Canis lupus familiaris: one gene and its partners. The protein of the gene in region 1 purifies or fractionates together with the protein of each later gene. This does not show direct contact. Links are inferred from orthologs where the notes say so. Each region holds a gene or a part of one and is shown in the gene's direction. Other genes may lie near its edges. The genes, in order: CTNNB1, PKM, SIAH1, RAC1, FHL2, ZMIZ2 and CDH10.

Region 1 (4,029 bases):
TATTATTTTCTGACCTTCATTTTGTCATGTAAAAAAAGATCATCAGTTGTGTTTCTACTGTGGACACTAAACAATTGTATCCATAACTCTTGTTATCTTTACATATCAAGTGACCTTTGTGGCTATAAAAATCTAGTACTGCAAGAGCAATTTTAGGAATAATTAACACATGCTTCCTTTACATAGAGCACATAGGACTTCAGAGTGTAGTTTCCAACTTCTTTAAACATTTAAACTCCTTTTTACATGGATAGAGTACTCACTTCATGCTTAAATATTTTAGTCCATATCTTTACATATTGGTAAACCAATATGTTAAGTTGTAGTGTAAGATGAACTTGTTTACGGGAATACTTTGTGATAAAGGAAATGTTATTATTAGGAATATCTGGTGGTTGTGAGCCTTTACAAGACCCACAGTTCTAATTTGCAAGTAGTTTCCCATGTGATTCAGTGTTTTCCTATTACACAGTGAGGCCAAAATGTAAACATAGATGCTAGGATTTACATATATATAAATTATGTATTTATATATATAGTACTTTTGTAATATATATATATTTTTTGTAATGATCAAAACAGCATTCTGGTCGGTAATAGTTGTATTTATAATACATCCATACTATAAATTTGAACTAGACAGATTTTACTAAAAGGGTGATTATTGTGTTGCAGATTTACATTTGAAAAGTAATTTTAGTTAGTAACAGATCTCAAACCCAGTGTTCTGATCCAGTCAGCAAAACCTACTTTGTATTTTAGATGTCTTTGTATTCTATCAGGAAAGAAAAACCATTAGTGAAAATCTAGTTTTTTTTTAAAGTCCATGTCCAGTCTCACCAGAAAGATCTCTGAATTTTTCAGTGAAAGAAGTTAAAAAGAGAGGGGAGAGGTATTTTGGGAATTCGAGGAGTTATTTCCTACCTTGGCTTTCACTATAAATTTTCTTCCTCCTCAACAATAATTAAGCTTTCTGACATCCTGAATAACTGTAATTTGTATTTCTACCTAAAAAGAGGTGTTTACTAAAAGAGGTTCAGCAGTGGTGGAGCTGTGGGGAGTGTATTAAGGAGACCATGGAGTCTGGCTTTCACTCTCACATGGTAAAGGGGGATTTGGGGGCTTTTTGTGGATATAATCCATGATGTTTAGCAGGTCATCCTAGTGACTTAAAAGTACTAAAAACTAATTTTAAATCCTAATGACTTGATTAACTCTTTTAGGGTACCTGAAGCACACCATACAACGGTTTTGAAAATCCTGTGTGGGGAATGGCTACCCAAGGTTTGTATCAAAAGTCTTTAGTTACTGAATCGGGGCTCTGCTTCATTGCCATTAACCCAGTCTGGCTCAGATCCCCCTGCTTTACTCTCTCCCTGCTTACTTGTCAGGCTACCTTTTGCTCCATTTTCTGCTCACTCCTCCTAATGGCTTGGTGAAATAGCAAACAAGCCACCAGCAGGAATCTAGTCTGGATGACTGCTTCTGGAGCCTGGATGCAGTACCATTCTTCCACTAATTCAGTGAGTAACTGTTAGGTGGTCCCTTAAGAGTATAGATATTTCATCACTGAGCTAATCCTGGCTATCGTTGTTTATTCTTGGCTGACTTTCAGATTTGACTATTTCTAACAATATTTCAATGGGTCATCACAGATATTTTAATGAATATAACATCTCCATGGTGGTAATGCTAATATTGTTTGATTTTTATAGCTGATTTGATGGAGCTGGACATGGCCATGGAGCCAGACAGAAAAGCAGCTGTTAGTCACTGGCAGCAACAGTCTTACCTGGATTCTGGAATCCATTCTGGTGCCACTACCACAGCTCCTTCTCTCAGTGGTAAAGGCAATCCCGAGGAAGAAGATGTGGATACCACCCAAGTCCTGTATGAGTGGGAACAGGGCTTTTCTCAATCCTTCACTCAAGAACAAGTAGCTGGTAAGTATTTTATTGCCTTAATAAAAGTTAGAAGGCAATTTTAAGAATGATTCTTTAAAAAGTTAGTATGTAATAGCTTAAATAAAATGGTGTGGTAAAGAAAACATGGAGTGATTGTAATGTTACCTTTACCACTTAGGGTAGCACAAATTCAGGTGAATGCTGAATTATGGACAGTGAGTGTTGAATTTATTTTTTCCAGATATTGATGGTCAGTATGCAATGACTCGAGCTCAGAGGGTGCGGGCTGCTATGTTCCCTGAGACATTAGATGAAGGCATGCAGATCCCATCTACACAGTTCGATGCTGCTCATCCTACTAATGTCCAGCGTTTGGCTGAACCATCACAGATGCTGAAACATGCAGTTGTAAATTTGATTAACTATCAAGATGATGCAGAACTTGCCACACGTGCAATCCCTGAACTGACAAAACTGCTAAATGATGAGGACCAGGTAAGTAAGGACATGGCTAGCTTTTAATCTGCTTTAAAGGAAACTCTCAAGGAGCCTCAGAATGTTTATCCGGTATCAGTATTTGAAAATCATAATTCTGTCTCTTAATTCCTATACATTATAGGTGGTGGTTAATAAGGCTGCAGTTATGGTCCATCAGCTTTCTAAAAAGGAAGCTTCCAGACACGCCATCATGCGTTCTCCTCAGATGGTGTCTGCTATTGTACGCACCATGCAGAATACAAATGATGTGGAAACAGCTCGCTGTACTGCTGGGACCTTGCACAATCTTTCTCATCATCGTGAGGGCTTGCTGGCCATCTTTAAGTCTGGGGGCATTCCTGCCCTGGTGAAGATGCTTGGGTAAGAAAACATGGTTAGGATGCTTGAAGCTAAGGAGGAGAAGGGTGCCATCACAGCCTTTCTGATGAGGCTTTTTTTTTCTTCCCAGTTCACCAGTGGATTCTGTATTATTTTATGCCATTACAACTCTCCACAACCTTTTATTACATCAAGAAGGAGCTAAAATGGCAGTGCGTTTAGCTGGTGGACTGCAGAAAATGGTTGCCTTGCTCAACAAAACAAATGTTAAATTCTTGGCTATTACAACAGACTGCCTTCAGATTTTAGCTTACGGGAATCAAGAAAGCAAGGTAAAAGAATTTTTCTGAGTATGGCTCATGGAGCATTGGGGAATCCAGTGTCATGTCCTTCTGTGGACTCTTGCACATTCTTTGTATGCCTCACCCTTTGTGTGTATCCTAGAAAAAAAGCTGGACATCTCTTTTTCTTTAAATATTTGTTTATATAAGGCTAGGTGATAAGGATATAGTGGGCATACTTAGAGCTTTCATACTTAGGTGGAAGATAGGCACTAATTAGAGATAATAACCTAATTACTATTTAATTCATGTATCTGGAAGAAGTAGAGGGGCTGTGATAGCATATACGTGAACCACACCCTGCTTGGAAGGTTTAGAGAGACCAGTGGAAGGAAGTGATAGTGGAGTTCAGTTCACAAGGATGAGGAAAGACTGACTAGGTGAAGGTGAGAGAGAGGAATTGACACCTTTGAAAGTCCTACTGAGAGAGGAGAGGGATGAATTTACAGAGTAAAGAAGAGGAAAGGTTTGAGATGAGAGTATTGAGATTAGCAGGGAAGGTCCTTCAGGGCCTTGTAGAATATGTTTTTAAAAAGTAATGGAAAGCAGTTCAGTATCAGCAGAGGCATGAAGTGAGGAGATTTGTTTTTAGAAAATCAGGATAGTTTGGAAGTAGGGGTCTGCAGGAAAGTAAAGGGCAAGAATGAGTAATTATTTTATGATACTTCATTTTAAGTAGGTGAATAATGATTAGGAAAAGCCAAGAGCCAAATCATTAGGAGTTCTAAGCACCTGTTCTGGCTCAAATTTTCAAGAAATCTGCTTTGATATACCATTGATATATGGACAGTACTGTTGCATACCAACATGGTTTCTGTTTCTTTTGTTCTGATCAGTGTGAGAGGAAGAATATTGGGGAAAAGTTGAGATATTCTTGGGAGTACTGGGATGCCTGAATTTGAGTGGAATGGTGTAAGAGGGGCTAAACGTGGTCCCAGTATGGGAATCTGGGGTAATGGGGTTCAGGG
Region 2 (3,500 bases), on another chromosome or scaffold:
CTGCCGCCATCTTGTCTCCCTCTACCCCCCCACCCCCAATCAGAAAATCCTTCCAGAATGGAAAACCCCATTTTTCCTCTTTTGGAGAGGAAACAGCAGCAGTTGATGCTGGAAATTCTCCAGCCATCCCTGAGCAGTTGGGCTTTCATCATGCTGCCTCTTCGCATCTGCATGAAGGACAGATTTAGCCAATTAACCTAAGGTTACCTTCCTCTGATTAATTCCCCATTCTGTCTTTCCATGTGTTGTCTCTCGTTTTTCTCCCTCCTCCTTCCCTCTTCTTGCTTCTCCTCCCCCCTCCAAACCTTACAGATAGCTCGTGAGGCTGAGGCAGCCATGTTCCACCGCAAGCTGTTTGAAGAACTTGTGCGAGGCTCAAGCCACTCCACAGACCTCATGGAAGCCATGGCCATGGGCAGCGTGGAGGCTTCTTATAAGTGTTTAGCAGCAGCTTTGATAGTTCTGACGGAGTCTGGCAGGTAGGGCCCCAAGGGCAGGTAACTCCGTAGGATAACCAGCCTCTTGCTCCAGCTGATCTAGAAGACGGCTGGGGCGCAGCCCTGCAGCTGGGGCCCGGCTCCAGTCCTCTCCTCGTCTGCAGGAAGCCAGCCAGGGAGTCAGGGCAGGGCAGGACCGCAAGGGCCTCCGGCTCGGTAGGCACAGTGGCTGCCACAGGCACCTGGTGATGGGCCAGTTCCCATGAACCTTGGTCTTGCGCGGGTCCGCGGCTCCAGTTGTCCGCCGCCTCTTGGCCTCCTGTCCGGGGACACGTCCCTCACCAGCTGTCTGTGAGCCTCTTCCCCTCCGTCTCCCGTGCGACACCGCTCTGACAGTCCTGTCCCCCTCCTGTCCCTCTGGACGGATGTTGCTCCCCTAGATTGCCCGTGAGGCAGAGGCCGCCATCTACCACTTGCAATTATTTGAGGAACTCCGCCGCCTGGCGCCCATTACCAGCGACCCCACAGAAGCCGCCGCCGTGGGCGCCGTGGAGGCCTCCTTCAAGTGTTGCAGCGGGGCCATAATCGTGCTCACCAAGTCTGGCAGGTAGGAGGTGGCAGCGGCTCCCAGGGCACGCCCTGCTCGGGGCACCTTCCCTGGGCGTCCCGAGAGCCGTGCGTTGATCGGGGCTCAGATGGCCCTGAGCCCAGGTAAGCCCCTCTGCCTGCCACCTGGGCCTGAGGACCCGAGGTTAGACTAGAGACTTCGTTGCCGAACGACAGACTGCACATGCTCACTTGAGTATGTGAAAGTTCATCTTTTAAGAAAGTAATTGATGACCAGTTTTGTTCATTCCAGCCACTACATGCCCTTTAAAAGTTCAGTTTGGGAGATTAGTGCTGTTCACTGACGTGCTGTTGGGTTGGTGCACCTGTCTCTGTCTGTCTTTGAGCCCCAAAGGCAAGCAGATTCAGGCCTAGGAAAGGTCACCACGTCATCTTGCTGGCACCCTAGTGTCGGGCCGCCGAGCTGAGGCTGCTGATTGGCCTTGGCTTGGGATCTCCTCCTCATCTGGACATGGAGTCAGCCTCTGTCATTGCCCCAGTCTGGGAGTGTGCTCCTCATCCCTGCCTGCAGGGCCACAGGAATTCCTGGAAGGGGAAGGGATGGGGTCAGGCTGGTGGTCCCCGAGCATGGAGGTGCGGCAGGTGGGGTTGCGTGTAGAACCGGGACATGAGATCTGTGCAGATTACCTCAGCAGAGGGCTCCGGATAAACAGCTCCAACCATCAGGGTTGACCTTTGTGGAAAGGTCCAGCCTTTGCTCTTTGGCTATTTTTAGCTCCAGTCTTCTGGGATTTCACTCTAACCAGTCCCGACTTCAGCACTTGCTTCCCTCTGAAGCCTTGTATGGGGGCCAGGCCTTTAGCAGGGCAGCCTCTGCTGTGACATGGCTTAAGTTTCCCTGACACCTGTCGGTGTCCTTAGGGCTTGCCTTCCGACGCCCAGTGCCTCCTGCAAGCAAGCCCCTCCCCAGCTCCTGAGACCGGTCTACAGCCACAAGTGTACAATGTTCAAGGAAGCATGTGGCACTGGGGCCCAGAGGGGCCCTCTACCCTCCAGGGGACTCTGCACAGACAGAGCCTCCCACATTAACCTTCCCATCTCCTGGTCTAGCCTCCTGGGTAATACCCAGGTTTGGCTCTAGAGCTGGGTTGCTAGGACTGTTTTAGGGACTTGGGGGCCATGTAGGCTGGGGGAGAGGGCACAGCAGTAGAGGGCTGGCTTTGTAGGTTCCCTGGGGGGCTGGTGAGCTCTGCTGCTGTTCTTTGCAGATGCCAAGAGTCAGGTGCTATTCACATGCTGCTTGGCTTGTAGCTGCTGCTGGCAGCAGGAGGAATGGGTGCTGGTGAGGTTGGGCAGGGCTGTATCTGTGCCAGGATGGGAAAGTTCAGAGGAGGGGCTTCTGCCAACTGAGTCGTGTGGGGTGAGTGGGTGAGACTGACCGCGCCGGGTCGGTGTGATCCTGGGGCCCTGGGCTGTGGGGAGGGGGGTAAAAAGCCAAGTGGACAGATAGCATAGGAAGAAGAGTCGGATTCTGTTCCTCGGAAGGTGGAGGACGAGGGGCAGCCCTGGCACGGGGAGCAGATGCTAAAGTGGCCAGAGTCTGATGCTGGCAGAATGAGTTGGATTAGAGGCTGAGTTGTTGCTGAAGGCCCTGTGGGGGGCTCTGGGAGGCTCTGGAACACTGTTTAATGGTCTCTTCTGCTTGGCCGTCATCCTGTCGCAGGTCCGCTCACCAGGTGGCTAGATACCGCCCCCGCGCCCCCATCATCGCTGTGACCCGGAACCACCAGACTGCTCGCCAGGCCCACCTGTACCGCGGCATCTTCCCTGTGGTGTGTAAGGACCCAGTGCAGGAGGCCTGGGCTGAGGACGTGGACCTCCGGGTGAACTTGGCCATGAATGTTGGTGCGTGGCTGGGAGCAAGGGCTAGCACCTGCCTGGAGGGGTGGGGACGGTGCTTGGGCACTGATCTCCCTGGGATCCTAGAGAAAGGGGAACATGCTGACCTTGGAGTGTGCAAGAGTCCTAGCTGTCTTCCCAGGGAACGTTCTCTGACTCCTCCTTCCCATTCCCTGAAGTTCTGGGCTAAGCCCAGGAGGGAGGAGGAGCCTTGGAGTTCTGGGGCTGAGCTGCCCACTTCTCTGTCTTCCCATCCGGGGCCCAAAGCAAAGGATCCTGGATAGTCAGGAATGTCCCTTCTTGGGCATCTGCTCCTTGTTGAGGGTTAAGAAAAGATTAGAGCGTTACATCATGGGGTGTCCTACACACAGATCACGTACTCATGGCCTTTGTCCCTAATAAAAGTAGGATGTCCGTGCATGAGAGGGACTACTCCACCCTCTAGAGTATAAAATGATGTCCAAAGGTCCCCGGCAGCTGCCATTTCAATTGATGAGGAAGAGTCGGGGCCTCCCTGGTCCCTGGGCTGGGCGGCTTGCGCCACCTTGTGGTGGGAGGCAGTAAGGGTCACCCAGTCTGGCTACCTCGGCGGGCGGG
Region 3 (4,186 bases), on another chromosome or scaffold:
ACCCATCTCCTTTAATCCAGACAAAAGCTGCGTGAGGCTGGAAATTTTGTCCCCATTTTATGGTTGAGCAGGTGGTGAAGACTAGGTTTGGATCCAGCTGTGTGTAGGAGACTCCAGAATGATGCCACTTTTATTGTCCTGACTCACTTGTTGAGAGGTTTGTCTGTAGGTTAATGGTTTTCAGAGACTCTGTAGGGCTCTGTAACCTCTTTCGGAAGTTTGGGAAAAGTGATCCCCCCTCCCCCCCATCATTCCTTCTCTTTGACTTGTTTTATACATTTAGGTTCAGTTTTAACTCTGGAAAGGCAGGGATGCCTAAAACATTTGAAGTCGTCTGCCCTATCAGCCTGAGACCGCTCTAGGGTGAATGTATTAGGAAATGAAAATGTAGGTAATAATAATTTATATTTGTCAGTGAGCAGACTTTATCTAACTTCATCCATATTTCTATTCCCAATGATGTTTCATGTAGCCTAATATTAACGTGAGGTTGAAATGACTGAATACAATAGGGTCTGGAAGTGATTGGAACTAAAATTTGATTTGGAAAATGGGTAATCTACAATTTACTGCACAGGGTTCATTCCCACCATGAGCTCCTGCTGTGCGTTTAAAGGCTGCCCTATAAGCATGATATAATGACAGGTTAAACCCCTGAGTGTACCACCTGACGCAGGGCAAATCTGAGGCCCAGGACTTTATTGGGGCCCGTGTAATGCTTCTTTAAAAACACAAGCTTCTCTGTTTAATGAGGCCATTTAAGATGGTTTTCCCAGACTGGGAAGAGAATATAATCTCAGTTTGGAGGTTGAAGGAGTTTAATAGAGTTACGGGTGTTTACTACTCTCACTGCAATCTATTCGAAGGAAGAGAAGGAGTTTCAAGTATGATGTCACCAGGGATAGAAGTGGAGGAGTGAGTTAGAATTGAGGAAATCGGGTCGTTGACGCCCAGTATATAGTGAACGAAGTGGGGAGAGTGCTTTTACTCTATGAGCACAGTTCACACATGGTTAACCAGGAGAAGAGCACTTTTCTGGCCACGTAATTCTCATATACTCTATGTAGGTCTTAGGTTGAAATCATACAGAATTGGCAGCATCTGTTTTCTACAGAAAGACATGTTTCGAACTAAATGTAAGCTTGTGGAAATGGGTGAGGTTGCAGTGTTGCCTGGGGTCGAGGGCAGGGTCTGGGTTGTGCGGGGCAGCGCCCCAGCGGCCCTGGGCTGGGGGGCGGGGCTTGCGGGCGTGACCACCGCGCCGGCCCCGCCCCGCCCCGCCCTGTCCGGCCCCGCAGGCCCCGCCGGCCCCGCCCCGCGCTCGCTGCGGCTGGGCTGGGCTGGGCTGGGCTGGGCGCTGCGAGCGGAGGCCGGCGGGCGCTGCGGGCTGGAGCAGGCTCCCCCAGCACCGCCAGGCCCAGCCCTGGGCCCCGCGTGGCTCTCCGGCGGGCCGGACCCTGCGGCAGCTCCGAGCTGGCTCCGGGGTGCGCCTGACCAGCCCCCGCGCACCCTGCAGCCCCATCCTTCACCCACGCTGGCGGGCTAGTGAATGTGGGGAAGACAAACTTCCAGGGCAGGCGGTTGAGGGCCCAGCGGAGGACAGCTCCGGTGATGGCGCCCATTTTTGGAAACGCAGGCGAATTGGAGCTCGCGGGGAGGTGTGGTGGACTCCTGAGGGGACGGGAGAGGCTTCGTTCCTCTGCTGCTGCGGCAGCCGGTGCTTCGGAGGAGTGAATGGGGGATCCTAGAGCAGGGCGCTTACCTTCGCTGCTTGAAGACTTGAACTCCGACGTGCTTAGGAGCAGAACGTGTCCATCCAGCAGGGCCTCTGTTACAAATCGTGTTTGCTCCTGGGGGAAGGGCTATGAGCCGCCTGACTTCTCATGACCGGGAAGTCTCCCTTACCTTTTCCGTACTCCTGGAGGGGCGTCTTGCTCACATGTCTGCCAGCAGCTGGGACAAGGAAGAGAAAAGGTATTGACACCAAGAGACTGGGATGCTTAAAGTATGAACCGGGAAAAGTTGTGAGCTGGGGGAATCGGGATCAGGGAGTGGCTGCAATGTAATTGAGCTCTAGTTTGCATTGCTGTTTCTTTTGATCTACTGTACTTTTCTCTGTTTAAACCAAGCTTCAGGTTACGTCATCACTCCTGCAGGGTTGTCTGAAGACACTTGAGTCCGTGGTTCCTACTGCAGGGCTGCTCTGTGGTTGGGGTTCTTTTTGTTTGAAGATGGAGCTGGGTTCCACCTTTGGTGCTTTGGGAGGTTTTAGCACCTTCTGTCCTGTAATACCTCCATTCGCAAGAAATACCGGCCTCATTTCACTTGTTTTCACTCTTTAGAGATTTAAACTGTTTTTTTGTTTTTTGTTTTTTGTTTTTTTTACAATGTTTGCAAAAGTAATAAAGATAATATTGGAATGTAAGCCTGAATGATTGATGATTATGTATAGTTATTTGCTCGGTCTGGAAATGAAACGATAGTATTTTTCTTGCTTATATTTTCCTAGTTCTATTATTTTGAATACAAGCCGAGTTTACTGTTCCTTGATGTGATTAGCTTGTTTGGTTTAGTAATTTGAAAAGGCATCAGTGGTTTAGACTGTTTTGTGTGCAGGGAGCCACTTTCCAATTCTAACATTGCTCACATAAGTGAGCAGTATAAAATGGACCACGAGACAGGCATACAGCATATACGTGGGGCATTTTGGCAAGGCTGAGCCCGTTGTTTCCAAGTGGTAGAAAATGCATGGATCATCGTACTCACAAAGAATCAAACACCTGGGTTGTACAGTGTTTCAGGTGATGAGAATTGATTCCCGTTGTCCCTTAAGTCCATGTGACAAGCCACCTTATGGTGGAATTCTGTACTTTTGTAGACTCTTGAATTGTAGAATATTAACTTTAGTTGACAGTGGACTATTTTTTTTGTCACCTTCAACCCTCACTTGGTGTCTATCCTTGAGTAATCTAGAAGTCCAGTTGCTTTTATATAGTCACATGGGTAACCAGCGTTGTTTTCTTAAAGTCAGGTTCTTTGCAGCAATAATGATTACATTGAGGAAGCATTAAATTTGAGGCATTCAGTTTTAGTTTTGTTAGAAATATGGTTTGTATAGTTGTTGGGAATACAGTCTTGGGACATCAGTAGACTGATCTTTTGTTATCCCTGAGACAAATATGGCCTGTCATATCCTAACAAAGTAGATTCCTGGGAAAGGTATTTATTTGCTTTATCTTTCATTTAGCCTGACAAACTAGTTACATTGTTGTCGTTTCTTCCAGATGACATTTATCTCAAATAATATTTATTCCTGTGCTGATGAATGCTTCAGCAACACTAGTGAACCCTAGGATACAAGGAATTCTTAACCTGTTTACTGTCCCCAATGTTGCATGTGTCTCTGGTGTTTTAATCTTTATTCTTTAATTACTTCTTTTCTTCCCCTTTTCAAATTATATGTAATTTTATTGTGCAATGGAAATAGAGTAGAAAGATGTACTTTCTCTGAGTACCTAAAAACTTTTGAGATTACCCTCCATTTCTCTTCTCTTTCTCCCACCTTTATTATGGGGCCTACTGATCAGTAGGAAGTAAGATTAATTAACACGTAGCTGGTGTTCAGATTCTAGGGGAAGACTTAATAGATGAAGGTGCATGATGGGATGGCAGCAGATCCTTCCCCTGACGACCCCTCCATCCCTAAATCTACAACTGAAGCAGATAACTGTTTGCCATTAGGCGGAGTTAATCAGAGCTGATGTCCTGGGTGATCCTTTGGATTACTTGTGACTGACTCCCTGTCACTGTTTCGAGCTGCCTTAGAATGGAAAAGAAATGGACTGAGCAGGGCAATTGAACACCGAGGGAGAGGGGAAAGTTCAGTGAAAACAGCTTTGGTTGAACTTAAGCTACTTAACACAGGGTTTCTTAGTTGTTTACAGTCTGGTTTCTGTTTCAGCATTTATTCCATATTGTATAATTCATCCAAAGGGATTTTTTAATATTTTTTTAAGAAAGGGAATTCTACATGTGTTTTGGGACATTTTGATAAAAGAGATTTTATCTGGTCCACAACTCCTATAATACTCAAAATGCATAATTCGTGTAATTTGTGTTTTTTTTTTTTTTTAAATCCTTTACTCTTTTTGCTCACAGTATGTTTTTCATAAAACTTAAGTATTTC
Region 4 (3,500 bases), on another chromosome or scaffold:
ATTTTTCTCACAGAGGCAGAATTGCAAGACATGAGGCTTTTTCTTTACGGTATTTAGTTGTCATTCCATTCTGTAAACCACATTGGAGCCTTACGCAGACCTCTGCTTTGCTGTCTCAATGTAACAAGACCCTAAGTTTTAGTGTTGAGAGTTGAGAGTATGTAAAAATGATTTTGAATTTTATCTTACAGGCTGATATATTGTGTCTTGTTTGGTACTTGCCCTGGTTTGAATTGCAATCCCAGATTTTTTCTTTTTTTTTTTTTCCTTTTCAAGATTTTATTCCTGAGAGGCAGAGGCAAAGACCTAGGCAGAGAAGCAGGCTCCCCACGAGGAGCCGGATGTGGGACTCAATCCCAGGGCCTCGGGATCACGCTCTGAGCCAAAGTCAGATAGATGCTAAACCACTGAGCCACCTAGGCGTCCTCAGAATTAATTTTTAGTGAAGTACTTGGTGGTACTTAGTGATTCTTGTTTGTTTTTTAAGTCCACCTTATTTTCTGCCTGCCAGGCTTCTCTGGGCTGCCTCTTATCATTAACTAGTTTTTGTGTAACAACTTTAAGTTAATTTAAGTACATGTGTATACTCACTCTTGAAATGTTACATGATAGCTTTTCTTTTCTTTTTTTAAGATTTTATTCATTCATAGAAGAAAGAGTCAGGGACAGGCAGAGGGAGAAGCAGGCTCGCCTCACACCATAACTTTTCAAAGCATTGCTTTGTGTTACCATAGCAGTTTGGTTGCAGGCCTCGGTGACCAAGGCTTGATGGTGATTGCCCTGCACTTAGTGCGGGTGTTCTGGAAGCACTGTAGAGTATGGCTTTGTGGTATGCCACCTTGTTGAAGATGAGTAACGTGTACACAAGTCAACAAGTGGGTTTGAGAGAGGGACTAATTTATACTTTGTTTCTTTCTGGAGAGAAAAATCTTAATGTTCTCTTCATTAAAAACAAAGGTTTTCTCTTGCTGACAGTCATTTGTTTTAGTTCAGTGGACTACCTTGTCCTTTGTGTCTGTCCCAGGCGTGTTTCTCCAGGTGCAGTGTTTTCGCCTTCCCCATACCCTGCAGCCCTTTCTCCTTCCATGTGGCTGCTCTGGCTCCTTGTGCCTGCATGCTGGCACCTTTGCTTTCAGGGGAGCCTCCAGGCCACTCCTGGCCTTGGCACACCTCTGAGACCCTTGCTATGATAGTCACTCAAACCCCCCATCTATGCCTTATGTTCCAGGGCTAAAGTGTTTTTTCTCCATTCTACAGCTTTGACAATTACTCTGCCAATGTTATGGTAGATGGAAAACCAGTGAATCTGGGCTTATGGGATACAGCTGGACAAGAAGATTATGACAGATTACGTCCCTTATCCTATCCGCAAACAGTAAGGATCATGACTGCTTTTTAATGTGTCCTTTAGAGTATGTAATTTTGACTGTGTAATTGCGTATCACCTACAGGTTTGCTTATACAGTTGGCACTTGAATGCACAGGTTTGAACTGCAGAGATCCACTTACACCAGGACTTTTTTTCCATAAATACATTACGGTACTGTAAGCATAGTTCCTCCTCAAGATTTTCTGGTTTTTTTTTTTTTTTTTTTTTTGTTCCTCAAGATTTTCTTAGTGACATTTTCTCTGGCTTACTTTAGTGTAAGAATGCAGTGTATATTACACATAACATATTTTACATGTATTAATCAACTGGTTATGTTATTGGTAAGGCTTCCCAGTCAGTAGCAGGCTGTTTCTTAAAGTTTCGGGGAGTCAAAGTAATACACAGGGTTTTGACTGCATAGGGGGTAGTCAGCACCTTTAACTACCCGCGTTGTTCAAGGGCCAGCTGTATTGCCATCTTTAGTAGCAAGGTTAAGTTCGGTAGTGAATGTCCTAGATGAGGACCAAGGATTTGTTTCTAATTTTTTAGCCTTACCAGCTACTAACGATGGTGCTATGTGTTCTACATGCTTTCATTTTAATTTCAGGACAGCCGCATGAAATAGGTACTGTTTTGTTCTTGCAAACCAGTTTCAACAATAATTACTTTTAAGATCAGTTTGCTTTGTGCCACAGAGTCAATTTAAACAGTTAAGGTTTTAAAAATCAAGTTAATGACTTCTCTTTTGGAATTAATATTATTTTTCTAATAAAACACATGCTCATCTTTCTACAGCGTTAGTATCTAAGTCTTCTCAATGTATATTCAGGTTTCGGTTTTGTAAAAATATGTCCACTGTGTCCAGTCAGAAAAACTTCTAGATTAGTTTTGCTTCCATTTCAGAGAATTTTAAATGATGTGTGTATCAAAGTGAATCAGTAATAGCTGGTTAAAATATGCTTAGAAACCACTTTACTTGAAATAAGCAATTGTCTTATTTGTACCATTTGCTTATCTTGTTACACGTTTGTTAGTCATTTTTAAAGTGTTTTAAACCAACTCTAGAGGCTCAGATGACTCACTGGCCAAAGGAAAATGCTCTAGGGGCAGTCAAGTGAATTTGTCAGGTTGAAATCCCATGCTCTGCTTCCTAGCTCTGTGACCCTGGCAGGTTTCTTCACAGCTCTAGTCATGACCTGTTTTCTCCTAGGATTAGATTAGCAATCAGTATAAGGCACACTGAATAGTTCCAGGCACATCACAGACAGTCTAGTGTAGCTGAGGTGAAGATTCATAGATCTGGACAGCTCTTCAAGTCCGAGCTGGCTGGGCCCAAATGAACAGAAGTTGCTGTACATGCTCTCAGCAAGCTAGGATGACCAGAGGAGGATCAGGTGGAGACATTCTGGAGTTTTTTAAAGTTAACTTTCTATTTAGTAAAATAAATTTAAAACTCTATTTTTTAGATTTATTTGAGACAGAAAGCACGAGAGTAGGGGGAGGGTGCGAGGGAGAGAACAAATCCCAAGCAGACCCTGTACTCAGTGCAGGGGTCGATGCAGGGCTCGATCTCATGACCCTGAGATCGTGACCAGAGCCAAAACCAAGGGTCAGACACTTAACCAACTGAGCCACCCAGGGGCCCCTAAACTTAGTGTGCGCATGTGCAAATGGGGAAAAGGGGCAGAGGGAGAGAATCTTCAAGCAGACTGCCTGCTGAGTGCAGAGCCCTGTGTGGGGCTCAATCTCATGACCCAGAGATCACAACCTGAGCTGAAATCAAGAGTTGGACACTCAGGACACACAACAAACTGAGCCAGCCAGCTATTCCCCCCACCCCCTTCCTTTTTTAAAGTTTTAAAGTTTTTTCCATGCAACAGTCATTGTCTTTTGTGTTTATTTTTTCAGCTGGAGGAATTCTCAAATACAATTAATTTGAACTGTGGATTTTTGCTACATTATAGTAATAGTGTTCAATAAAGACCAAACCCATAAAATGCTAAGTCTGAATGAGTGATGCCTCATTTAATCTCCAGCTAAAAATTAACTGTGATTAAGTTTTAAAAGTCAGCTCATAATCCCCAAATGGTTCGAAGTCTTCAGTATGTTTAGGAAACTTCTGTCCCCAGTG
Region 5 (3,500 bases), on another chromosome or scaffold:
CGGCTGCGCTCCAGGAAAAGCCCAGCTGCAAAACGGGGGCGGCACAGACTGTGCGCAGCCACAGCACCCCCGTCCTCCCCGGCTGGCTCAGGTATTCAGAGCACGTTTCTTTTTTTTCACTTCTTACCCTCCTTTCCCCGCAAAATGTACCTTGTTGCTGCCTGCAAAGCGTGCTTGCATACGCATCTGTCTTGAACACATCTGTCACCTCTTTCTGTAAAATACACATACTTTTATTCTCTTGGAAAAGTATTGGAAAATGTCCACAAATCCTGAGCATTTGCTGTGACTCCGGCTCAGGGGCGGGTTCAAGGGTGGGTGGGGATGGGGGTGGGGGTGAACCAAACAGCATTTCCGTTCTCTAGGACTTCTTCATCTACTTGAAGAAATCACATAAACATAGCACACGACAACAGTTATTCGAAAGGAAATGCAATGTCACAAGATTAGAATCAGAAAATTGCTAAATTAGCCATCCGGGCATCACTTGTGGCTTTTAACAGCTGCATTCAGTGCAGCGGGGAGAGCGTGGAGACCCAGCAGCTTGGTTTACACCTCGGGCCATATAAGGTGATCGGTCGGTGTGGAGGCTCCTCATGGGATCAGGCTTGACACTCTAGGTTCGTGTACAGCACCACCACTTTCCATCCGGTGTTTTTTTTTTTTTGTTTTTTTTTTAAGATTTTATTTATGTTCATGAGAGACACAGAGAGGGAGGCAGAGATGCAGCAGAGGGAGAAGCAGAAGCAGGCTTCCTGCAGGGAGCCCAGTGCAGGACTCGATCCCAGGATCCCGGGGTCCAACCTGAGCCAAAGGCAGATGCTCAACCACTGAGCCACCCAGGTGTCCCTCATCCTGTGCTCATTAACTGGCTGCAGGGCTGTGTCCCACTCCGTTGGGACTGGTCTGAGCTAGGCCAGCTTGCTCTTTCTGCTTTGCCTACTGAGACATGGAGTGACAGATCCTTTTCCCACCTAACGTTCATTACCTCCCTGCTGGACAAATAAACCTCGAGTATGCACAGAGACTGTTCTGGGAGCAAGGTGTACAGCAGTGAACCCCCAAAAATACACAATCCCTGCCCACTCCCAAACAGTCCCATTTGGAGGCCAGCCTCTGAGAGCCACAGTGATGCCACAGTCACAAAACTAGGTGGTGGCAGGTTCTTGACGAGGGGCGCTGGGAGTGCAGGCCTGTCATGTCGTCAGCTCTGCTCTTTGCCGTCTTCTTGCCCCTTGTGCCAGGTACCCGCAAGATGGAGTACAAAGACAGCAGCTGGCACGAGACCTGCTTCACCTGCCACCGCTGCCAGCAGCCCATCGGTACCAAGAGCTTCATCCCTAAGGACAACCAGAACTTCTGTGTGCCCTGCTATGAGAAACAGTACGCCTTGCAGTGTGTTCAGTGTAAAAAGGTAGCTCTCACCTCCCCCGGGACCTCGTGTATTCCAGTCTGTTTGCCTTGGCTGTCAGCCCCCTTTCCCCGGGGACAACACCCTTGGTACTGGGATGGCACAAGAGTCTCACCTGTCCGGCCCCGCATCCCAAAATTCTCATGTGCACGTGTGCATTTTATCCACTGGAAGGACCCCCATCCCAGGCCTTCTTTTGACCGCACAAGGGCCACTGGGACCTGAGATGGGAGCCTGTAGCCCTCCCTCCTAGAGCACTGCCGAGTTTTTGCTCCTATTCATGACATGACGTTAAAGGGGAGGAAAACTTACTATCCCAGAGCTCCTGTTACACTGTCCTCCATCAGTAGACAAGAAACGAGCTGCTGAACCTCGTGGGAGGGAGGGATGTGAGAAGCAAAGGAAAGTTGTGGCTGGGACAGGGGACAGGTCACTCGTTGCACCCAGCCCGCTCATCTCGTGCCGTGCTGTCACGGCCATTAGTCAAAGGCAGAAAAGGAGCGCCACGCCTGCCGTCCTTTGCCCTGGCAGGGCCTGCTGGGGAGCGATCGCAGAGCCTGTTTGGCTCCGGCCTGTTCACTGACGCGGCTGTTGGGCCTCCGTCTGCGGAAGAGCCCGGCTGCTGTTCCCTCTGCTGGTCGGCCTGACCTCGAATGCCCGACCTGCTGGCGCCTTTCCAAAGGGCAGAGTATTGCTCACTCGCCTTCATGCTCTCTCGTCTCCCTCGGCCTCGTGTCCGTCTCATTTTTTAAACTACGATTTTAAATTCCACATCTTCCAACTTCTACTCGTAAGATTATATTACTTTTCTGCTGTTTTTCGCTTCCTCCTTAGATGAATCGCTCCTTCCTGTGTTTATGTCAGGAAGCCTCTTTCTTCTCTGCTCACTCCCTTTTTGTTTGGTTTGCTCTTTCTCATCAAGATCCACGGAAAGTTCACGTCATTTGCTTTTCTTGCATTATCTTCCTCCCAACCTTATTGCTACTGTGTTCGGTGGCAGAAGTGAAGGTAATGCATCCTCCGGGAAGCACAGCCCTGTGGGTGTTCATCAGGACTGGTGGAAGCATTCACACCAGTAACATCCACCCTCCCGCAGCGCAGGAGGTGCTCGGGGCTACTAGGGCCTGGGGGGAAACACACTTCGGTGGCAAACGTTCAAGTGCTTATCGACAAGCGTGCTTTGGAGGAAAACAGTCGTAACAGAGCGTACACAGGGGCCAGCTGAACCAGTCGGAGGAGTGGGAGCCAAGCTGGTGTTTAGGGAGGGCTGCTCTGGGACAGTGACACCCACGAGCATGTCTGAGCCAGCTGGGCCATGCGGGGTGCGGGTGGGCATGTGGGTGCAGAGAGGACAAGAGTGTGGATTCCACGTAGAGCAAACCTCTTACTACACCCACCTTCTCTGTCCACACAGACACCTTGCCACTGAATGTATTTTGCATAAATTCTGTTCCAAGGCGGGAATTTATAGGAAGATCATTAATACATTATAGTTTAATGAAAAGAATATACGGTGCTCACTTCGGCAGCACATATACTAAAATTGGAACAACACAGAGAAGATTAGCGTGGCTCCCGCACAAGGATGACAGGCAAATTTGTGAAGCTGTTCCGTATTTTTTATGTTGGCAAATTGAATTTAAATTCTAAAAAAATTAAAAATAAATAAATAAAAAGAAAAGAATATATGATAGACTCCTGAATCCAAGTACCTGCTTTGTCTTTAGCTAGCAAATTCTCAGGCAAGTCCCTTAATTTCTCTGGGTCTCAGTTTACTCACTTGTAAAATGGATATAATGTCTGTAGTATGTAAGGGCCTTTATATAGTTGACCTTTGAACAACACAGAGTTGAAAGGGACCAACCCCCCTGCACAGTTGAAAAACCACATAGAACTTTTGAGTCCCTAAAAACTTACCTAGTAGCCTGCTGGTGACCAGAAGCCTTCCCGGTGGCATAAATAATCGATGCACACAGCTGTTGTATGTTATACGTATCCTAAACTGTATTCCTACAATAAAGTAAGTAGAGCAAAAAAAAAAAATATTCAGAAAGTTACAAGAAAAAAAGCATTGACAGTATGGTACTGG
Region 6 (4,129 bases), on another chromosome or scaffold:
GATCCAGGTAAAAACTTTATGGTTGTCACTTCCACTTAGGCGGGGAGGAGGGGCTCTGCGTCCTTTCTTGGACATCTCGCCAGGGGCACAGACATTATTGGGTCCCACACAGGGTCATGCTGACTTGGTCCTTTGGGCCAGGTGGTGTCTGATGGGCATCTTTCTTGTAAAGGTACTTTCCTTTTTTTTTCTTTTTTCTTTTAAGATTTCATTTATTTATTTGACAAAGAGAGCGTGAGCGGGGGGAGGAGCAGAGAGAGAAGCAGACTCCCCACCCAGCCAGGAGCCAGACCCAGGGCTGGATCCCAGGACCCCAGGACCATGACCTGAGCCAAAGGCAGACACTTAGCCACCGAGGGGCCCAGTTAAGATACTATCCTATGCTCATAATGAACTGTAGCCTGGAGGAAGATCTTGGCACCATAAATATTTTCTTTCTTTTCTTTCTTTTCGTTCTTTCTTTTCTTTTTTTTTTTTTTTTAAGATTTTATTTATTTATTCATGAGAGACAGAGAGAGACACTGGCAGAGGAAGAAGCAGGCTCCATGCAGGGAGCCCGACGTGGGACTAGATCCCGGGGCTCCAGGATCACGCCCTGGGCTCAAGGCGGCGCTAAACCGCTGAGCCACCCGGGCTGCCCTGAAATACATTTTCTTACGTGTAGTTGGCACAGTAAAAAACATGAATTGTGGGGTGACTGGAAGAACATGGTCTCCCTAAAGCCAGGGCAGAAAAAAGGACTTAAAGGGTAATAGTAGCACGTGGAGGAGCCAGCGGATAAGAAACGGCGCTTGGTCCGCTAAAGGGGCGCAGCGACCCAGAGACCGCAGCAGCACGTGCGGCCAGCCCGGCTCCCCTCCCGGACCCCGGACCCCGGCCCCCGGCCCCCGGCCCCCGGCCCCCGGCCCCGGCCCCGGCCCCGGCCCCGGGAGGCCCCGCCCTCAGCCAGGCCCTACCCCCCGGAAGGCCGGCCTTTTGCCAGGCCCCTCCCCTCCCCTCCCCCGAAAGCCCCATCTCTCCCCGGGAGGCCCCGCCCCTCCGGCCGGCCCCGCCCCCAGCCGGGCTCCTCCCCTCCGCCCGGCCTCTCTCAGATTGGCGCCCCGCCCCCGCGCCCCCAGTCCTCCGGCCGGCCTCCGTCTGACCCGCCCCGCCCGCACTCAGGCCCCGCCCCTCCAGCCGCCCCCGCCCTCGACCGGGCCCCCTCCGCCAGGCCCCGCCCCCTAGCCGGGCTCCGACACCCTTCCCTGACAGGCCCCGCCCATCGGCAGGCCCCGTCGCCGCCGCCCGCCCCCGCCGCTCCGCCAGGCCCCGCCCCTCCATCAGGCCCCGCCCCGGTGGCAGGCTGCAGGGCGCGCGGGGGACTCCGCAGACACGGCTTTCGGACAGGTGTGGAGGGGGCGGGGGCGCCGGTGGTGGTCCGCCGCCGCTGGCGCTGCCCGGCCCGCCCCCGGCCCGCCCCCGGCCCGCCCCCGGCCCGGCCTGCAGCCCGGGCTCCTGCAGGCCCGCGGCCGCCCCGCGCGAGCGCCGGCTCTGGGATCCACTGCTCTGGCCTGGGGGCGGGGCCGGCGCGCGGCGTCATGCATATGCATGAGCGGCGCGGCGGCTCCATTGTGCCCTCGGAGCGGGCGGCGGCGCGATGGCGCGGGTGGCGGCGGCGGCGGCCCCGCGGCGGCGGGCGGCGCGGAGGGCGGGCTGAGCGCATGGAGCGGCGTGGGCCGGGGGCCTCGGCGGCGAGGGGCCGGGCTAGGCCGGGCGGAGGTGAGCGGGCCGGGTGGACAGGTGCGGGCGGCGGGGGCGGCAGGTGCGGCAGGTGCGCGCGGCGGGCAGGTGCGGCGCTCGGGGCCCGCGCTGCGGCGCCTCTGCCGGGCTCGGGCCGGGGTGGAGGCGGCCCCGCCGCCCACCTGCCGCACCTGCCGCGTGCGCGTCGTGCTCTCGGGCCCTCCGGCCGGCGCGCGGGCGGCCCTCACCTGAGCCTTTGTTGGGGTGGGCTGGAAGCCGGCCGGGCGCCCGAGGGGTGTGCGCGGCCCCGGCGACCTCCCGAGCCGGGAGGATGGCCCGGGGCCCTCGCCCCGCCTGGCCGCGCCGCCGCCACGCCGCGCTCGGGCTCGCCTCCGGGCTGGCTCTGGGCCGTGCGCGCCCACCAGCTGGGCGGCGTGGGGCCGCGGGGCCGCCCGAGGCCGGCGGAGCAGGCTGACCTTTCAGCCTCCCGCCGTTGTTTCTAAGGGGACACCCCTCGTCCCAGCCGCGCCGTCGCCGGGGCGGGAGGGTGCCCTCTCCCAGGACCCCCGTTTGCCTCTCTCCCTGCCCCGCTCTCCTTTCCCTCCTGCTTGCTCCCCTCCGGCCCGGATGCGCCCGTCCCTGCCCAGCTCTGTTCCTGATGGTTGCAGACCATCCACAGCCACGTCTGTAAGTCGGTTTCGCAGGGGCATACACGGAACGTGTGACTTGATCTGGGGGACGGTGGTGGATGCAGGGAGGGTGAGCAGACTCAGCCACCGCTTCCTGGGGAGCTAGAGCCCTCGGGCCTCCATCCAGGCTTCGTGAGAGGGGGGCCTGGCCTCCCCCAGCAGGTACTGGGCCTGAGGACTGGTCATGCCCAGGGGCTGGTTACAGGCAGGGGACAGAGGTCAGGGAGGAGGAAGGTAATGACAGGCAGGCAGGGTGCGCCTGGGGAGGACTCCAGGGACAGCCCGACTTCCTCACGAAGTGTCCACTGGCACTGCGTCCACTACAGGACTCAGGGTTTGAGCACAGAATGGCAGGTGTGTGTCCTCCGCTTTCCTAGGGTGGCTGCCACGTACCCATTGTGCACCCAGGCCCTTCGTAAGTGCTCGTTCCTGGGTGCTTTAGATGGGCTCCAGCACTTAGGCTGGTCGGTGTTGTGGCCTCACGTGGAGAGCAGCAGGACTTCCAGCCATCCAAGCATGTGAGTCCCCCCCTTGTGTCGTCCTGCCTCACTGAGCCACCATTTCCACCTTCTCCAAGCCCATCAGACTTGGGTGTCCCTCTGCTTGGACACGTGCCCTGGAAGCACAGGCTCCCTGCTGCCGGAGTGCCTGCCCCAGGACCACAGAGCAGGCGTGCCTTTCCGAGGTCAGGTGGCCTGTCATGGGGTGTGCTGCTCCTGGCTGACCAGGCGGCAGGGACGGAGGAGAGGTGCAAGAGAGCTGACCCACATTAACGTCTGCCTGTGGTTGGCACCCAGGAGACTGGGTGCAGCTGCTCCGAGGCCCTGGGAGGGGGTCTGAGTAGCGAGTTTCTGTAGCCGTCTTTCTGGGAGATGTGACCCAACCCAGAGAAAGCTCCAGGCTAACCACGTGCCAGGGCGGTTCTGCCGAGGGGTCCTGGCTTCCCGCTGGAGCTGTGGACAGCAGAGCCTCGGACCAGCAGAAGGGCCCCCGCCTCAGGCCTGCTCGGGCCTCCTTGTGCGCACGTGCACTCAGGCACACACGCACACACACACCAGGGCTTCTCCAGCTGTACCTCTCAGGCCAGGAAGTGAGAGGAGGGTCTTGCATTCAGAGCAGGGCTCTCCCTTTGTCGGGAGCAGAGGGCCATGGGGTACCCAACTTGGAGAGTGCAGGTCTCCCCAAGGAGGAGACCAGACTTAGTTTGGCAGGAAGTCACACACACACACACACACACACACACACACACACGCCCTGCACACCCAGACACCCATGCATGCAGTCAGCTCAGGGGGAACTGGAAATCTCTGTGGTCTCGTCCATAGCAGAGCAGCCTTTGGGGTGGAATTCCCCCGACCCATGTGATGTAGGAGTCGTCCTGGGGCCCCAGACCAGTAGCCTCTGCCTCCCCCACTCTCCACCTGGGGTCCCTGTAGCGGCAGCATCCTCACCCAGGCTCGTTAGGGATGCGGGTCCTCAGTTCCAGTCCTACAGTTGTGTGTGATGCGCCGGAGCTGGAGCTGGGGCCGCGGGAGTCCTCAGTGGTGCTCCCCCACCTGGCCAGGGGCTCGTCTTCCACCCACCCTTTGCTTCTGTAACCACAGAGTGGGCCTGGCCAACCCCACCAGCTTTGTTGTAGGGAAGGGTGGCCCTGGGCATTTCAGTGGAGAGAACAGGCCAAGCGGCGGCGGTTTTCTCATTAAACTTTTATTTTGAGGGAA
Region 7 (3,500 bases), on another chromosome or scaffold:
CCTATTCTGATTTATGACTACATTTTACATGAATTTGTAAATTAAAAAAAACATGTTTGTGAGGATGTCTAAGTTATAATAAATACTTATGGAAGTTTAGAAAATCTACATATTGTGTTCATGATATGATAAAAACAAAATTAAAAATTAAAAAAATAATCTTATTGTAAATAATCAAACTATGATCCCAGCCTAGAAAATGTTTATTGGTTGGGTGGTACAATTAAAGAAAAACTTATAATCCTTGTATTTTACAAAGCCATGCTGTGTCCCTCCTACACCTAAGCCCCACCACTCAGGGTAAGAACTCTATGCAGAGCAGGGGCTATTCATACCTGGAACCTACACATCAATTTCCAGAACATACTCAAGGTACTTGAAACTATTATTCCCTGCCTAAACATCCCTGGGCTTGCTTCTAAGTCCAGGGAGATTCTTTTCTTCAGGTCAACACCCAAAGGCCAGACGTATCCACTGTTATATTTGTCCTTAACTCTGGGGGCAGTCCTAGTGGGCATCTGTTAAAATACAGCATTGATGGAATTTACCCATGAAACCATGGAATCCTGGATAGCATTTGCACTGGGATGCGTGGCACACTGGCCTGAGAAGTCCTCATGAATTCCTGCAAAGCTCTTTGACGTGATTAGTGAATTCTAAAAGATGAGTGTTGTGGGCATAAGCAAAGGGCAAGAAACAGACTTGCTTTGCATTGTCTTTTTCCTGCACAAAACTTGTTTGAGGTTATGAAGAAACTAGATTTGACAAGGTAGGAGCCTACAGAGAAGCATAATTTATTGTAGAATTTATTAACTTGATTTATAATTTTAAAACATAGACATCGATTTGTACTCTTTCCCTGAGTTCCAAACCTACCTGTGGGGCAGTTGTTTGTGTGTGTGTGAACCAAAAAATAATACATAGTGTTTCTAACATAGGAGCTATATCTCATACAACTTAGCCTGTCTTACAGAATATCACTAATTCTCCAATGGAAATGCAATAACAAATAACAAGTTTATAAGCATTTCCTCAATAATATGAGAGTAAAAGAATTCTCCACTCACAGAAAGAGATGAGAGAAGTAATGTTTACACAGCATGTCAAGACTGATGACATATGTCTTTGTCAGGAGTTAATTGCCTATGAAAATGGTTATTTGCCAAGCAAAGCAAAGAGGGGAACTGTGTTTGGTTTATTTTTATTACTTTTATCCACTTAGAGTAAAAATCACACAGATATGTGAAAAGCTAGTCTTATTGTTTAAGATATATAGATGAGTGTGTTCATACTTATTCAACTTTCATTTCAAGAACTAAGATAACTGACCCCATTATTCTGTGTTGGGACGTGAGAGACTTTGAATTCTTTCAGCATTATGTACCTTTAGACATTATCATGGATATGCTCTTTTTTATTTCCCCCAGCTTCATTCAGACCAAGATAAAGGAGATGGATCACTCAAATATATTTTATCTGGAGATGGAGCAGGTACTCTTTTTATTATTGATGAAAAAACAGGTGACATTCATGCCACAAGAAGAATTGATAGGGAAGAAAAGGCCTTTTATACACTGCGTGCACAAGCTATTAACAGAAGAACTTTGAGACCAGTAGAACCAGAGTCTGAGTTTGTGATCAAAATCCATGATATCAATGACAATGAGCCAACGTTCCCAGAAGAAATTTATACAGCTAGTGTTCCAGAAATGTCCGTCGTAGGTAAGTTCATTTATAAGAATTATCATGGTATGCAGAAAGTATAAGAAATTATTATCAAGAAATTTTTAAAATACTGTGATCAGTTAACTGACATCTTCTTTGATTCCCTCCTAAGAGTACTTATTTAATTTCCTCAAGTAGAAAATGAGTGAGAAAAAAAAGATTAATCATTTTTTTACATGCTATGGATTTGTAAATCTTTACAAATAAGGAGATACACCCCTCAAAAACCCAAGAAAATACCACTGAACTTCAGTAGAAAACTATGAAAATATAGCATCTTTGTCACATAGCTTTGTATAATAGCTGTGTAAAATTCTGACCTCAAATATATTATAAGCACGTTCAGAACATTGTAGATGTAGAGTCTTTGCATACATACTCTAGTTATAATTTGTCTAAAGAATTTGTCTGGGTTATCTAGATAATACAAAAGGTGGCATTGATTACATTACCTGATTCATATTATTTCAAAACATCTTTTAATTATAATCATTAAATATAAAACTCTGCTGATATAAATCTGTTATTCAAATAAACCAGTTGAAATTCCATAATCACATACTGATACAGAATTTAAAATTTAGGTTGTAGGATCTATAAGACAGAGGACATGAAAAAGCTATAAGTATAACATTCAAGATAACAGCATTTTCTTTTTCACTGGAAATAAATGAAAATTGTATTTGTAAGCAGAGAAGTCAAGACTTCTTTTTTGTTAAGTGGAGAATGACAAAAATACATATTAGGAAACAATGATAACATTTTTTAGAGATACATGTTTAGACTTAATAGAAAAGATTTATTTCTCAAATGTGAGAGAAGTCATATAAACCGATGAAATAATTCTGATACTTTTAACAGTTATAACAGCACATTTTTAACTCTGCATTTCTCAAAAGCATTGTTCTGGGATTCTTATTTAATATTTACTTCCCTAAATCCCAAGGACTTTGGCAATTGCTTTATTATAAAGCCCCTTTATATTTCTTGAACTTTATTAAATTGCTTTTAATAGTTCATGGAACTTGGGATCATCTTGGATTGTTTCTAAATCTGGAATTTAATCTATTCATAAAATTGTATTCTAGAGCAGATGTTAATTATTTTTATAGTTAATTAGTGGAGAGGAGGAAAGAGAAGAACACCTACTCCTTTGTGATCAGATATGCCCTTTACACGCAACAAATCTATTATGTGAAAATGAATTTAAATATCAAACCTGAGCACTTGTAAAGTAACTGCATTTATTATCATCTGACACATTGTGGTCTTCTCTGTGCATGCATAAAAATATACCTGTTGGCTAAATAAATATACAGCTGAATTCACAATTTTCCTGTAATAACACTGTGTGTATGATTTTCATGTCAGTTATACATGAATATTTCTTTAAGAGGTCATTATAAAAGCCAAAAATCATTCAAGTCTTCCATGAAAACCAGTGCTTTTGCTCCTCCTTCTGGTACTGTGCAGAACTAAGCTGAATTTGGATACTTCAGGTACTTCTGTGGTGCAAGTCACAGCTACAGATGCCGATGACCCTTCCTACGGGAACAGCGCCAGAGTTATTTACAGCATACTCCAAGGGCAGCCATATTTCTCTGTGGAGCCTGAAACAGGTCAGGAATCATGAATCAGTGTTTATTAATTTAAGTCTTTATGGTCTTTAAAGTAGAAAAAAGGTGGGAAACGAAGAACAAAACATTAACAGTCATACTTACACGAGAGTGATGATGCCACACTTGACAATTTAAGAGTTCAAAGTTGAATGATTG

The links.
Region 2: the proteins of CTNNB1 (region 1) and PKM purify together in Homo sapiens (affinity purification with western blotting; 5 studies listed by BioGRID and IntAct, with this or other methods). This does not show direct contact. The link is inferred for Canis lupus familiaris from reciprocal best matches to the Homo sapiens genes CTNNB1 and PKM.
Region 3: the proteins of CTNNB1 (region 1) and SIAH1 purify together in Homo sapiens (affinity purification with western blotting; 4 studies listed by BioGRID). This does not show direct contact. The link is inferred for Canis lupus familiaris from reciprocal best matches to the Homo sapiens genes CTNNB1 and SIAH1.
Region 4: the proteins of CTNNB1 (region 1) and RAC1 purify together in Homo sapiens (affinity purification with western blotting; 4 studies listed by BioGRID, with this or other methods). This does not show direct contact. The link is inferred for Canis lupus familiaris from reciprocal best matches to the Homo sapiens genes CTNNB1 and RAC1.
Region 5: the proteins of CTNNB1 (region 1) and FHL2 purify together in Homo sapiens (affinity purification with western blotting; 3 studies listed by BioGRID, with this or other methods). This does not show direct contact. The link is inferred for Canis lupus familiaris from reciprocal best matches to the Homo sapiens genes CTNNB1 and FHL2.
Region 6: the proteins of CTNNB1 (region 1) and ZMIZ2 purify together in Homo sapiens (affinity purification with western blotting; 3 studies listed by BioGRID, with this or other methods). This does not show direct contact. The link is inferred for Canis lupus familiaris from reciprocal best matches to the Homo sapiens genes CTNNB1 and ZMIZ2.
Region 7: the proteins of CTNNB1 (region 1) and CDH10 purify together in Homo sapiens (affinity purification with mass spectrometry; 3 studies listed by BioGRID and IntAct, with this or other methods). This does not show direct contact. The link is inferred for Canis lupus familiaris from reciprocal best matches to the Homo sapiens genes CTNNB1 and CDH10.

The regions. Positions count from the first base shown.
Region 1 is NC_049244.1:10,789,144-10,793,172, forward strand, and holds the start of CTNNB1 (catenin beta-1), read left to right. Parts: upstream 1-1,229; 5' UTR 1,230-1,271; coding exon 1,272-1,284; intron 1,285-1,715; coding exon 1,716-1,943; intron 1,944-2,145; coding exon 2,146-2,399; intron 2,400-2,523; coding exon 2,524-2,762; intron 2,763-2,850; coding exon 2,851-3,052; intron 3,053-4,029. UniProt on the Homo sapiens protein: Key downstream component of the canonical Wnt signaling pathway.
Region 2 is NC_049251.1:36,154,083-36,157,582, reverse strand, and holds part of PKM (pyruvate kinase PKM), read left to right. Parts: exon of another isoform or gene 1-312; coding exon 313-479; exon of another isoform or gene 480-877; coding exon of another isoform or gene 878-1,044; exon of another isoform or gene 1,045-1,589; intron 1,590-1,691; exon of another isoform or gene 1,692-2,727; coding exon 2,728-2,909; exon of another isoform or gene 2,910-3,500. UniProt on the Homo sapiens protein: Catalyzes the final rate-limiting step of glycolysis by mediating the transfer of a phosphoryl group from phosphoenolpyruvate (PEP) to ADP, generating ATP.
Region 3 is NC_049223.1:65,986,453-65,990,638, forward strand, and holds the start of SIAH1 (E3 ubiquitin-protein ligase SIAH1), read left to right. Parts: upstream 1-1,386; 5' UTR 1,387-1,883; coding exon 1,884-1,974; intron 1,975-4,186. UniProt on the Homo sapiens protein: E3 ubiquitin-protein ligase that mediates ubiquitination and subsequent proteasomal degradation of target proteins.
Region 4 is NC_049227.1:11,830,575-11,834,074, forward strand, and holds part of RAC1 (ras-related C3 botulinum toxin substrate 1 precursor), read left to right. Parts: intron 1-1,257; coding exon 1,258-1,375; intron 1,376-3,500. UniProt on the Homo sapiens protein: Plasma membrane-associated small GTPase which cycles between active GTP-bound and inactive GDP-bound states.
Region 5 is NC_049231.1:39,109,777-39,113,276, forward strand, and holds part of FHL2 (four and a half LIM domains protein 2), read left to right. Parts: intron 1-1,244; coding exon 1,245-1,414; intron 1,415-2,924; exon of another isoform or gene 2,925-3,032; intron 3,033-3,328; exon of another isoform or gene 3,329-3,421; intron 3,422-3,500. UniProt on the Homo sapiens protein: May function as a molecular transmitter linking various signaling pathways to transcriptional regulation. Negatively regulates the transcriptional repressor E4F1 and may function in cell growth.
Region 6 is NC_049237.1:14,026,627-14,030,755, reverse strand, and holds the start of ZMIZ2 (zinc finger MIZ domain-containing protein 2), read left to right. Parts: upstream 1-1,329; 5' UTR 1,330-1,386; intron 1,387-1,674; exon of another isoform or gene 1,675-1,758; intron 1,759-2,384; exon of another isoform or gene 2,385-2,406; intron 2,407-2,785; exon of another isoform or gene 2,786-2,926; intron 2,927-4,129. UniProt on the Homo sapiens protein: Increases ligand-dependent transcriptional activity of AR and other nuclear hormone receptors.
Region 7 is NC_049225.1:82,132,518-82,136,017, forward strand, and holds part of CDH10 (cadherin-10), read left to right. Parts: intron 1-1,427; coding exon 1,428-1,722; intron 1,723-3,224; coding exon 3,225-3,344; intron 3,345-3,500. UniProt on the Homo sapiens protein: Cadherins are calcium-dependent cell adhesion proteins. They preferentially interact with themselves in a homophilic manner in connecting cells; cadherins may thus contribute to the sorting of heterogeneous cell types.